3 linked regions of the Macaca fascicularis genome follow. The protein of the gene in region 1 purifies or fractionates together with the protein of each later gene. This does not show direct contact. Links are inferred from orthologs where the notes say so. Each region holds a gene or a part of one and is shown in the gene's direction. Other genes may lie near its edges. The genes, in order: SMARCD1, BICRA and BCL7B.

Region 1 (4,295 bases):
AAAAGTGTGCATTGGATAGGGGAACAGCAGGCAGGGCTTTGGGTGACGCATGCCTCTGGTCTAATAAACTGGGTTTCAACCATCTCCTCTTCAGTGTTGTTCACTTATTTGAAAACATATTTAGGTATTCTCACTAAGTGCCTAGAGCTGAGCTTGGTTTGGGGCCAAACAATTAGGGGATGAGTAAGGAGAAGGTTTGAATAGGGAGACTGTGGTCCTCCTGGGATGGGACGGCTGACCATCGTATCAGGAATAGTTTGAACCACTGGGCAGGGAAAGAGGGAGGAGTCAAAGGCAACAAAGGTCCAAAACAGAATCCCCATCACGAACAATGCTTTAGAGAGAGAGCAGAGTCAAAATTCAAGATAAACTGGAACTTATTATAAAATCTGGAAGCAGGCTGGCACGGTGGCTCACGCCTGTAATCCCAACACTTTGGGAGGCTGAGACGGGCGGATCACTTGAGGCCAGGAGTTCGAGACCAGCCTACGCAACATAATGAAACCCCCATCCCTATTTTTTAATATTAAAAAAAAATCTGAGGCCAGGCACAATGGCTCACACCTGTAATCCCAGCATTTTGGGAGGCTGAGGCGCGCAGACCACTTGAGCTTAGGAGTTTGAAACCAACATGGGCAACATGGTGAAACCCTGTCTCTACCAAAAATACAAAACAGCCTGGCATGGTGGTGCATGCCTGTGATCCCAGCTACTCGGGAGGCTGAGGTGGGAGGATCACTTGAGCTTGGGAGGCGGAGGTTGCAGTGAGCTGAGATGGTGCCACTGTGACAAAGACAGACCTCATGTCGAAAAAATAATAATAATAATAATCCGGAAGCAGGTTAGGTCGGAGACAAAGTTAGGTTGAAGTTCCCACGTGAGGTAGTTATTGAGGCACTTTATCTGTGGAATGAGTCCTGGGCTATGAGCAAGAAGACCTGGAATCTTGGCTTCGGCTTTATGACTAACTTGCTGGTTGACCTTTGCCAAGTCGTTCACCTGTGAGTTCAGCTTTCCTATTTGGAAAATGGAATAAACTGTGTTTCCCTCCTCAGCCCCTGATAGTTATAGCAGTAAGAAAATGAAACGAAAAGCAATCAAAGCGTTTTGGGAAGTTAATGCCATGCGCCAAGATGAAGCTATTACTCCAAGCACCTCATCATCAGCGGGCTGGAGTCGGGGTTGAGACTGGGGCTGAGGCTGTGGTCCGTCCCCCTTTCCAGGTCCTTGTCTACCTCCCGTCGGCCTGGGGGCGCCCACTCACGGGGCCTCTCTATCCCAGAGTTCTTCTCTATGGTTTTCCCTCCAGGACCGTGAAGGCGGGAGGGCGTGGCCAGCACGCCTTTTCCGCTACTCGCTCCTCTCTAGGCGACAGTCTCGCTGCCCTGAGCCTCCCGTGCCGGCCAGCCGGCCGGGGGAACAGGCGGGCGCTCGGGGGGCGCTCAGGGGGCGGGGGGAGTTCCGGTTCCGGTTCTTTGTGCAGCTGCATCGGCGGCTCCGGGAAGATGGCGGCCCGGGCGGGTTTCCAGTCTGTGGCTCCGAGCGGCGGCGCCGGAGCCTCGGGAGGGGCGGGCGCGGCTGCTGCCCTGGGCCCGGGCGGAACTCCGGGGCCTCCCGTGCGAATGGGCCCGGCTCCGGGTCAAGGGCTGTACCGCTCCCCGATGCCCGGAGCGGCCTATCCGGTGAGTGGGGCAGGAGGAGGGACGCGCGGGCCGGGGGCGGGGCCGAGCGGGGACGTGGGAGTGACAGGGGTGGGGGGAGAAGTAGGAGGGACTCCCTTGGGAGGGGTTCGGGCTCTGGGTGGGGGCTGGGGGAGGCAGTGCGCAGGAAGAGAGGGGGAGGCAGTTGGTGTCCACACCAGCTCCTAGGGGCATTGTTTCCGTGGGGAGTCGGTAGAGAACCAGGGTGGGTGAAGTGGGTCCAGGGATACCTATACGAGGGCCGGAGTGCAGAGGGGCTTGAGCAGCTCCATTGATCAAAGGAACACAGAACGTGTAGCTGACAAATTGAGGTCAGCTTCTAAAGAGATAGTAGCTAGCAGAGTAAATGTGGAACTGGCGATGTCCGATGTGTCCGATCCAAAATAGACCGATAATTTGAGTATAATCTGGCTCTCGCTTAGCTTTTGGACTCTTATTTTTCTGTGGAGTCACTGCTGGAGCAGAGGGTTCTCGTCTCATTGTCCTCCATTCCATCCGTAAACCTTACTTCATTCAAAGAACTCAGGCGTTCCCTGCTTTTCTTTCTTGGTGGGGTTTAGCAGGTGAAACCATGACATCTCTGGGTCCTCTCCCCTCTGTAGAGACCAGGTATGTTGCCAGGCAGCCGAATGACACCTCAGGGACCTTCCATGGGACCCCCTGGCTATGGGGGGAACCCTTCAGTCCGACCTGGCCTGGCCCAGTCAGGGATGGATCAGTCCCGCAAGAGACCTGCCCCTCAGCAGATCCAGCAGGTCCAGCAGCAGGCTGTCCAAAATCGAAACCACAAGTAAGATGATCCTGGGGCAGAGGGAGGGAGGGAGGGAGCCTGGGAGTACACAGGTGGTGGGATTACCTGAACCAAGAAGTGGTGGTGCTGTGTCAGCAGATGGTGCTACAGGATGATTGAGAATGCTTGGTGGTGGTGGTGGTGGTGGTGGTGGTGGTGGTGGTGGTAGTTCTTTGAGAGCAGCTTTGCAATCCCTTCACATTACTATAAATGGACATGCTGACAGCTTATTTTCACGTTCTGACTAGTTCTGTCCCAACCTGATAATAGTGTTTATTCCCAACAGTGCAAAGAAAAAGAAGATGGCTGACAAAATTCTACCTCAAAGGGTGAGTCCAGGCTATCTGTTTTCTGGAAAGTGTGGTAGGTTTGAGTATAGAGATGAATCATCCTAGATTTCAATTAATTTTTCTGTTCCTAAGATTCGTGAACTGGTACCAGAATCCCAGGCCTATATGGATCTCTTGGCTTTTGAAAGGAAACTGGACCAGACTATCATGAGGAAACGACTAGATATCCAAGAGGCCTTGAAACGTCCCATCAAGGTAACACAGGAAGTTACTAAGCAGAGAGCCAAAGGAGAGGACCCAGGAACCTTCAGCAGGCTTAGGATGAGAAATCAAAGGCACAGCACAACTCTCCTTGGCATTTAAATTGTATCTTTCCCTTCCGCCTACAAACTGAGAATTACATTAGGAGGATAAGAACAGAATGGCAAAGGGGGAGGGGCTCTTGATGTCTCTTGCACTACAAATATACCCTTGTCCATGTTTTTGCTGTAACTGCTCTGCTACCTTGGGAACCTGGCACCTTGCGTGACTTTGTCCACCTGGCATCCCACTGTATGCACTTGTACTTAGGCTGATGGCCAGTACTCCTCTTCTAAATGGAATCTTCATCCACCCACCCAAGGGACTGGGTAGACAGTAAGCCAGTCTGTTAGGAATAATTTTGGGGTTTGGGGAGACTCTTGTCTTCAACATTAGACCACTGAAGCCCCACGATCAATCCTGTTTCTGCCTTCCTCAGCAAAAACGGAAGCTGCGAATTTTCATTTCTAACACTTTCAATCCGGCTAAGTCAGATGCCGAGGATGGGGAAGGGACGGTGGCTTCCTGGGAGCTTCGGGTAGAAGGACGGCTCCTGGAGGATGTGAGTTCAAGGTCCACAGTGGTTGGCATCTAGGGTGGGAGCTGCTGGGAATGAACAGTGTTGTCTGGTCAGCAGGAAGCCTAACTGGTGCTCACAGCTCCTTTTGGGAGCAGTAGGGAGAGGGACACTGTTCCCTGCACTGAAAGACAATGGTCCTTTGTGTTTGCCCCCACACCTTTGGCCTTCACTGGTATCATGTGGAGAACCTTATTGTCCTGGGATCTGATTTGTGATTTACCTTCCTCTTGGTGCTGCTGGCCATTGGATTTAGCCGTATCTGTAGATTATTTAGTTTTTGTTTTGTTTTGTTTTTAGTCGAGTTTGCACTTCATTTGAGGCCGTGTTTCCTCTCTGAGTTCTTGTGGTATCTCCATCTTCTCAACTTTCATTGGAGGCACCCCATAGTTTAAGTAGGATAGATTTCTCTTGACAGGCTCTTTGTTGCTTCCTGGGGAGCATCAGCTGACAGGTGATAGCCCCCAAACTTCCCAACCCAGAAGCTCCTCGGGGAAGCTCACCTTTCTCTCATTCCCTTACATTCTCTTGCTCTATTTTTAGCTGCTCGCAGGAAGCTAATTGGAATGCACTTTTGCAGGAGAACCAGGGCTCAGTGTCAGAGCCTCCTTCTCTATATAGGTCCGGTCCATCTGCTG
Region 2 (3,561 bases), on another chromosome or scaffold:
CAGGAGAGGAGCCAGCAGCCCCTCTCCGCAGAGGGTCCCCACCTCTCCGTGCCTGCCTCGGTCATAGTCAGCGCCCCGCCTCCCGCCCAAGACCCAGCCCCGGCCACCCCCGTCGCCAAAGGAGCTGGCCTTGGCCCTCAGGCCCCCGACGGCCAGGCTTCCCCGGCTCCGGCCCCCCAGGTAGAGAGACCCCAACAGCGTGTGTCCGCAGCACAGACCCAGCCTCGCCCCTCCTGCCCGCTCTCCCGCTCCTCGCTCTCCGCCCTGCCTGCGTCTCTGTCCTGCTGACTTGGAACACAGAGCTCTCCTTCACTCCCACAAAGTGTTTCCCAATGATCATGGATGCCTGAGACCAGGGCCGGCCCTGGGGGAGCCCATGCGCTGCAGGAATGCAAGACACACACGGAAGGAAATCTCTTATTTCCTAAAATTATAATTTTCACATCCGAATTAGTAATACATTCAGATAATTCACATTTAAGAAGGTACAAAAAGATGCATAGTGGAGAGCCCCCCTCTCCTGAACCGTAGCCTCCTGTCATCTTCCCAGGGTGGTTTCTTGCATTTGTTATCTGGATAGGGAAACAATCAAATATGGATTCTTTTCCTTCAATTTTTACAAAAAGGGTAGCATCCTCTGCCTGCAGTATTGCATTTTTTATTATTTAAAAATTGATCTTGGAGACCATTCTTCATTTTCTCTTTAAAAAAAAAAAAAAGAGATGGAGTCTTACTCTATCACCCAGGCTGGAGTGCAGTGGCACGATCTCGGCTCACTGCAACCTCCGCCTCCCATGTTCAAATGATTCTCCTGCCTCAGCCTCCTGAGTAGCTGGGATTATAGGTGCCTGCCACCATGCTGGGCTAAGTTTTGTATTTTTAGTAGAGACAAGGTTTCACCATGTTGCCCAGGCTGATCTTGAACTCCGGACCTCAAGTGATCTGCCCGCCTTGGCCTCCCAAAGTGCTGGAATTACAAGTGTTGGCCACTGTGCCCGTTCCCATTCTTCATTCTTTTATGTGACTGCGTAGTATTCCACTGTGTGCATGTACTGATATTTATTTAGCCAGTCTAAATTGTTGGGTTTTTAGATCACTTCTGATCTGTAGCTATTATGAACAAGGCTGCAAAGAATGCCTTTGTATGTATGTCATTTTGTAGGGTAAGTTCTTCACAAGGAATTTGCTGGCTCTAAAGGCATATGCATTTTTATCTCTGACAGATATTGTCAAATTGCCCCCTGTGGAGTACAAATGAGTTTAACCTTTATCAGCAATATGTGATTATGCCTTCCCCACCCCGCCCGCAACCTCACCAGTATGTTGAACTTGGCCGATCTAGATAGGTGAAAAATAGTATCTTGTTTTGTTTTCATTTGCATTTCTTTTATTGTGAATGAGGTCAGGCAGCTTTTCATAAGAGTAAGAGCCATATGTACTTTCTGTTCTGTGAAACTGCTCATACCCTTTGCCATTGTAAAATCTGGGTTACTGTCATTTTGTTGTAGATTTGTAGAAACTCTTTACATATTAGGAAAATTAGCCTTTTGTCTTAAGAGTAATAAGCAGTATGCTTATGAGTCATAAGCACATAGCAGGTTAGGGAGGGCTACCCTCTTATTCTAGAGCAGTGAATGTGGTACTCATTCAAAAAGGACCAGTGGATAGGTAGGAAGAGGAGAGTGTGACAGTGACAAGGGCAGGATGGCAGAAGTCAGCATGGGCTTTGACCTTGAACAGCCATTATTTCACTTGCAGGCTCTCCCACTTACCATTTAACCTTTAGCAACCAGTAGTTCATTCCATCAGCAGATGCTTAGGTAGGCTGAGGGAGCACTTAGGTGGAGTAAATGAGTTAGCACAAAGTAAGCACTTGATAAATGTTTGCTTTTATTATTATTATATATTTTTTGAGACAGACTCTCACTCTGTCGCCTAGGCTGGAGTGCAGTGGCAAGATCTCAGCTCGCTGCAACTTCCACCTCCTGGGTTCAAGTGATTCTCCTGCCTCAGCCTCCTGAGTAGCTGGGATTACAGGTGCCCCCCACCACGTTTGGCTAATTTTCATATTTTTAGTAGAGATGGGGTATCACCATGTTGGCCAAGCTGGTCTCAAACTCCTGATCTCAGGTGAACCACCTGCCTCAGCCTCCCAAATTGCTAGGATTACCGGCTCCCGCCACCATGTCTGGCTAATTTTTGTATTTTTAGTAGAGAGATGGGGTTTCGCCATGTTGGCCAGGCTGGTCTCAAACTCCTGACCTCAGGTGATCCACCCGCCTCAGCCTCCCAAAGTGCTGGGATGACCGGTGTGAGCCACCACACCCGGCCTAGCAGTCTCTCATTTAAACCTCACAACCTCCACCAGGCAGGTGGCAGCATCTCATTTTGCAGGTGAGGAAACAGAGGCAAAGGGAGATTAATTAGCTTACCCAAGGTTGCCCAGCTCGCAAATGGTAGGGCCTGGATTTAAACCCTGGGGGCTTACTGCTGGAGACACCTGAAGTCTTGAGAAAGCCAGACCTGGGTGTGAATCCAGCTCTGCTTAGTGGAGCTCTCTGAGGCATGGTTTTTACATCTAAAATGGGAATAAGGCCAGTGACCTGACATGATGGCACTGCACAGAGCCAGTGCTTAGTGAACAGACACTTACTGTTAGCAGTTGCAGTAATTATGCTGTAGCTGAACTTATTTTTTTGGAAGCAGGGTCTGTCTGGCTCTGTCGCCCAGGCTGGAGTACGGTGGTGCAATATTGGCTCCTACAACCTCTGCCTCCCATGCTTAAGTGATTCTCCCGCCTCAGACCCTGAAGTAGCTGGGACTACAGGTGCGTGCCACCACGCACAGCTAATTTTTTTTTTTTTTTTGTATTTTATTTTGTGGGGGAGATATGGGGTCTCACTATGCTGCCTAGGCTGGTTTCGAACTCCTAGGCTCAGTAATCTTCCCACCTTGGCCTCTCACAGGGCCAGGATTACGGGGGTAAGCCACTGTGCCTGGCCACGTGGATGACCTTTGAGAAGGATGCTTAGTGCGCACAGTCAGGTGTGCACCCGAGCTGACTCTTAGTCACACAGAGAGGCGGGGAGGCACAAGGTAGGACTCTCCACAGTAGCTGTGTCTGCAACAGTGCCAGCATGACAGAAGGTGGTCGATGAATGTTTGTTGAATGGGCAAGTGGATGGACAGATGGATGGCTGAATGGACGAACGGATGGATGGCATGGGTGGGTGTGTGACTGGGTGATTGGCCAAGTGTCCCCTGGCGGGGACAGAATCATCCAGATTGAGAACCACTATCCTGTGTATATGCAGGAATGCACGGAATAGCAGTTCCCAATCTGGATGATTCTTACTGTTAGTAAAAGTAGTGGTTCTCTTACTGTCTGAACTCCAACCCCTGCATTCGGAACTCTGATCTCTGGACCCAGATGGATTTGGCAGCCTCTGTGTGTGTGTGTGTGTATGTGTGTGTGCCCGTGCGCACATTTTCCCTTTGTGTTAACACAAACAGAAATGCAAAGACTGTGTTCTGCATCTGGCTTTGCTTATTTAGCAACAT
Region 3 (4,003 bases), on another chromosome or scaffold:
AACCCCATCTCTAGTAAAAATACAAAAAAATTAGCCGGGTGTGATGGCGGGCGACTATAGTCTCAGCTACTCGGGAGGCTGAGACGCAGAATTGCTTGAACCCGGGAGGTAGAGGTTGTAGTGAGTCGAGATCACACCACTACACTCCAGCCTGGGCAACAGAGTGAGACTCCATCTCAGAAAAAAAAAAAAAAGACAGGCGCGGTGGCTCACGCCTGTAATCTCAGCACTTTGGGAGGCCAAGGCGGGCAGATCACGAGGTCAGGAGTTCGAGACCAGCCTGACCAACATGGTAAAACCCCGTCTCTACTAAAAATACAAAAATTAGCTGGGCGTGGTGGTGCGTGCCTGTAATCCCAGCTACTCTGGAGGCTGAGGCAGGAGAATCACTTGAACCCAGGAGGCGGAGGTTGCAGTGAGCTGAGATCATGCCACTGCACTCCAGCCTGAGCCACAGAGCGAGACTCCGTCTCAATAAATAAACTGGAAGTTGTTTGAAACCAAAACCACGTATGTCTTCAGTTTTTGGTACAGAGTCCTGCACAAAATAGGCATCTTTTATTTATTTTAGAGATGGGGTCTCCATATGTTGCCCAGGCTGGAGTGCAGTGGCTATTCACAGGTGCGATCATATCACAGCTGACTGCAGCCTCAAATTCCTGGGCTCAAGTGATCCTCCTGCTTCAGCCTCCCGAATACTTGAGACTACTAGATACTCGAGAAAAGGCAAGAATGTGGTCTGAATGTTGGGAAAGCAGTTCATCTGGTGAAGAGAGGAGAGGATTCCAGGTGAGGAACAGGTATGTGCAAAGGCCAGAAGGCATCCTGAAGAAACGCGAAGAAAGGCGTGGTTGGAGCACAGCGGCAGAGCCAGAGGGCAAAGGTGCTGGACAGGAGAGGCGGGAGGACAGAGACAGCGCAGGAGCGCGGTTCCACAGGGTCAGGTCCCTAACACGCTGGCCAGAGCAGGGAGCCGACCTCCAAACTCCCAGGGAAAAGAATCAGTTGCCCACCGGCAGCACCTCACACCTCGCCCTGACTACAGCACGTGCGCCCGGCCCGCCTCGCACCCCGGCCCGGGTGGGGGCTCAGGGGACTCCCGGGGCGCTCAGGAGGGACGCCCCGGGCGGGGCGCGCAGGCGCGCTGAGGCCGCGAGCCCCAAGGGGCGGGCGGGTGCGCGCGCTTCCTCGCGCACGCGCGCACAGAGGGGGCGACGGCCGCGGTGACGCTGCGGCGGCGGCGGCGGCGGGCGGGCGGCGGCGCGAGGCGCGCGATACCCGGTGTCTTGGGAGCAGTGCCCTGGCCCCCGCCGCTCCCGCCGCCGCCATGTCGGGCCGGTCGGTCCGGGCGGAGACCCGCAGCCGGGCCAAAGACGACATCAAGAAGGTGATGGCGGCCATCGAGAAAGTGCGGAAATGGTGAGGGGCCGGAGGTTAGGGGGCTGGCGGGGGTCGCGGGTCCAGGCCCTGAGGAGCGCGGGACTGGCGAGTCGGGTGGGAGCCGACCGGCCGGCGCTGGGGGAGGGGGACGCGGGAGAAGGCGGGAGGAGGGCGCCGCTGGCGTCGGCGTGAGGTCAGAGGGCGCGCCGGCCGCGGCCAATCAGCGGGCCGCCCAGTTCGCGGGCCCGCCCACCTGCTGCGGCTGCGGTCGCGCGCTGCCCGGGAGGGGATGCCGGCTTCCGGCCCGTGCTGGGGCCGCCTGGCCTCGGTGTCGCCGCGCCCGGCCCAGCCGGGGGCCCGCCCTCCACTCTTCCTGGGTTTTGGCCCCGCCTGCGTTTCCAAGCTGGCCCTTGATAATAGCGAGTATCCCTGGAGTGATTTCAACCCGCCAGGCTGAGAGCTCTGCGTATTCAGGCATTGAAGTTGGGTGAGTTTATGGGTTTGTCTGTTAAGGGAGGAAGCCTGGTGTCATCCAAAGGAAAACCCCTCACTTTCCCCCAGAACCCGGCCCCTGCGCCGCGAGCTTGGTAGGCATTTTCTCTTGCTGCCCTGACGGCTGTCAGGAGAGTCCTTTGCAAACTATGTACCAGCCTCCCTTTAATTTCTCTGGTTCTGCTCTTGCTCATTACCCAGCCCGTTCATCGTCTGCACTGAGTGATTTTATTTTTCTCACTTCCAAGTAGCAGTGGTCTTTTTAAAGTGCACGTCCTTACTTGGGAGGCTGTGGTGGGAGGATTGCTGGGACCCAGGAGTTGGAGGCTGCAGTGAGCTATGATCGTGCCACGGCACTCCAGCCTGGGCTACGGCGAGAGACCCCATGTCTAAAATGTGCATGGAAGACGCCGGTTGAGCACGTATTTTGTATCCAGATCTCCGATACACACTGTGTCGGTGTGTATCAGAGTCATCACGTTAAACTTTCATAGCCAACTTTGTCAAGTTTTTTGTATAGCCAATTACTACCCATTATTAAAAACCCAAGTATGGCTAGGTGAGGTGGCTCAGGCATGTAATCCCAGTACTTCGGGAGGCTGAGGCGGGCGGATCGCTTGAGGCCAGGAGTTTGAGACCAGCCTGGGCAACATAGTGAGACCCGGTCTCTACAAAAACTAAAAGTTCAAGTAGATATTACCTCCCGCCAGGAAGCCTTCCTTAACGTCTCCCACCCCTCACCCTTTACTCCCTTTAAGATCATTGGTACATTGACCTTTATTTGTGTGTTTATCTGTCCATTTCCACACAAGAGGGAAGTTCCTTCTCTTTCTATGTCTGAGGGCTTCATATATAGTTGGGTTTCCGTATAAATAGTTTAATTTATTCATGGTTTTCCTCGTCCACCTTTAATCCTCCAAGATTTTGGTGAAACCTGAGAACAGGCACACCCTTCTCTTCTCCCCATTTTTGACCCCCCGCCCCTAGCAGGCTAGGCTCAAGGGCCGTCCTCTGTCACCTGGAACTCTGTACCAGCCTCTTCTCTCTCTGCTGCTCTTGCTCATTCCCCAATCTGTTCATTGTCACCGAGTGATTTTATTTTTCTCTCTTCCGAGTTACAGAGTGATCTTAAAGTGCACAGCTTTATTTGGGAGGCTGTGGTGGGAGGATCGCTGGAGCCCAGGAGTTGAGGCCGCAGTGAACTATGGTCATACCATGGCACTCCATCCTGGGCAACAGAGCGAGACCCCATCTGTAAAAAATATATAAAATGTGCATCTTATGCTAGCACCCCTAGTAATGCTTCAGTGGTTCCATTCTTGCTTTTAGGATAAATACCGAAGAAGGCCTTCCTTCCTGCCTCACTTGGCTGGCTCTTTCCCAGGATGCCCACCGTCTTTCCAGTGAAGTCACTCTGCTCTTCCTGCCGCCTGGCATTCTTCTTCCTCTCTTTTCTCCTCCCTCTTGCTGAGTTAACTCCTAGCGCAGCTCAAAAGTTGCTTCCTTAGGTTCACCACTTGAGATTCCCAATCTAGATCAAGTCCCCTTCACAGAACTTTCCACGATTGTATTAGATGGACTCATAAGACATTTCTTATATTTGACTTCTGTTTTGTTTTTCTTTTTAGACAGAGTCTTGCTGTGTCACCCAGGTTGGAGTGCAGTGGTGCAATCTTGGCTCACTGCAACCTCTGCTTCCCAGGTTCAAGCAATTCTGCCTCAGCCTTCTGAGTAGCTGATTGCAAGTGTACACCACCACACCCAGCTAATTTTTGTATTTTTGTAGAGACTGGGTTTCACCATGTTGGCCAGGCTGGTCTTGAACTCCTGACTTCAAGTGGTCCTCCCACCTCGACCTCCCAAAGTGCTGGGATTACAGATGTGAGCCACTGCATCTGGTCTCCTGTATTTGGCTAATTAACCTACAAAAATGGCAATTTGATATGGTTAAACCTAATAATTAAGTGACTAATCCTGAATTGAGCTATTCATGTCTGTTTCCAGATATAAGACAGGGTCTGTGAGGGCAGGGACCATGGATCTTGTTCTCTGCATCGCCAGGTCCTAGCACAGCCTGTTGTAGACTAATTGGTTGAATAAATGAGAAAATGGAGTGGTCTGTTCAGGAATT

The links.
Region 2: the proteins of SMARCD1 (region 1) and BICRA purify together in Homo sapiens (affinity purification with mass spectrometry; 5 studies listed by BioGRID and IntAct, counting the BioPlex papers as one, with this or other methods). This does not show direct contact. The link is inferred for Macaca fascicularis from reciprocal best matches to the Homo sapiens genes SMARCD1 and BICRA.
Region 3: the proteins of SMARCD1 (region 1) and BCL7B purify together in Homo sapiens (affinity purification with mass spectrometry; 4 studies listed by BioGRID and IntAct, counting the BioPlex papers as one, with this or other methods). This does not show direct contact. The link is inferred for Macaca fascicularis from reciprocal best matches to the Homo sapiens genes SMARCD1 and BCL7B.

The regions. Positions count from the first base shown.
Region 1 is NC_088385.1:56,914,743-56,919,037, forward strand, and holds the start of SMARCD1 (SWI/SNF-related matrix-associated actin-dependent regulator of chromatin subfamily D member 1), read left to right. Parts: upstream 1-1,477; 5' UTR 1,478-1,505; coding exon 1,506-1,682; intron 1,683-2,302; coding exon 2,303-2,490; intron 2,491-2,776; coding exon 2,777-2,819; intron 2,820-2,912; coding exon 2,913-3,035; intron 3,036-3,519; coding exon 3,520-3,642; intron 3,643-4,295. UniProt on the Homo sapiens protein: Involved in transcriptional activation and repression of select genes by chromatin remodeling (alteration of DNA-nucleosome topology).
Region 2 is NC_088393.1:55,707,798-55,711,358, forward strand, and holds part of BICRA (BRD4-interacting chromatin-remodeling complex-associated protein), read left to right. Parts: intron 1-3; coding exon 4-180; intron 181-3,561. UniProt on the Homo sapiens protein: Component of SWI/SNF chromatin remodeling subcomplex GBAF that carries out key enzymatic activities, changing chromatin structure by altering DNA-histone contacts within a nucleosome in an ATP-dependent manner.
Region 3 is NC_088377.1:52,421,952-52,425,954, reverse strand, and holds the start of BCL7B (B-cell CLL/lymphoma 7 protein family member B), read left to right. Parts: upstream 1-1,202; 5' UTR 1,203-1,327; coding exon 1,328-1,419; intron 1,420-1,674; exon of another isoform or gene 1,675-1,867; intron 1,868-4,003. UniProt on the Homo sapiens protein: Positive regulator of apoptosis. Plays a role in the Wnt signaling pathway, negatively regulating the expression of Wnt signaling components CTNNB1 and HMGA1.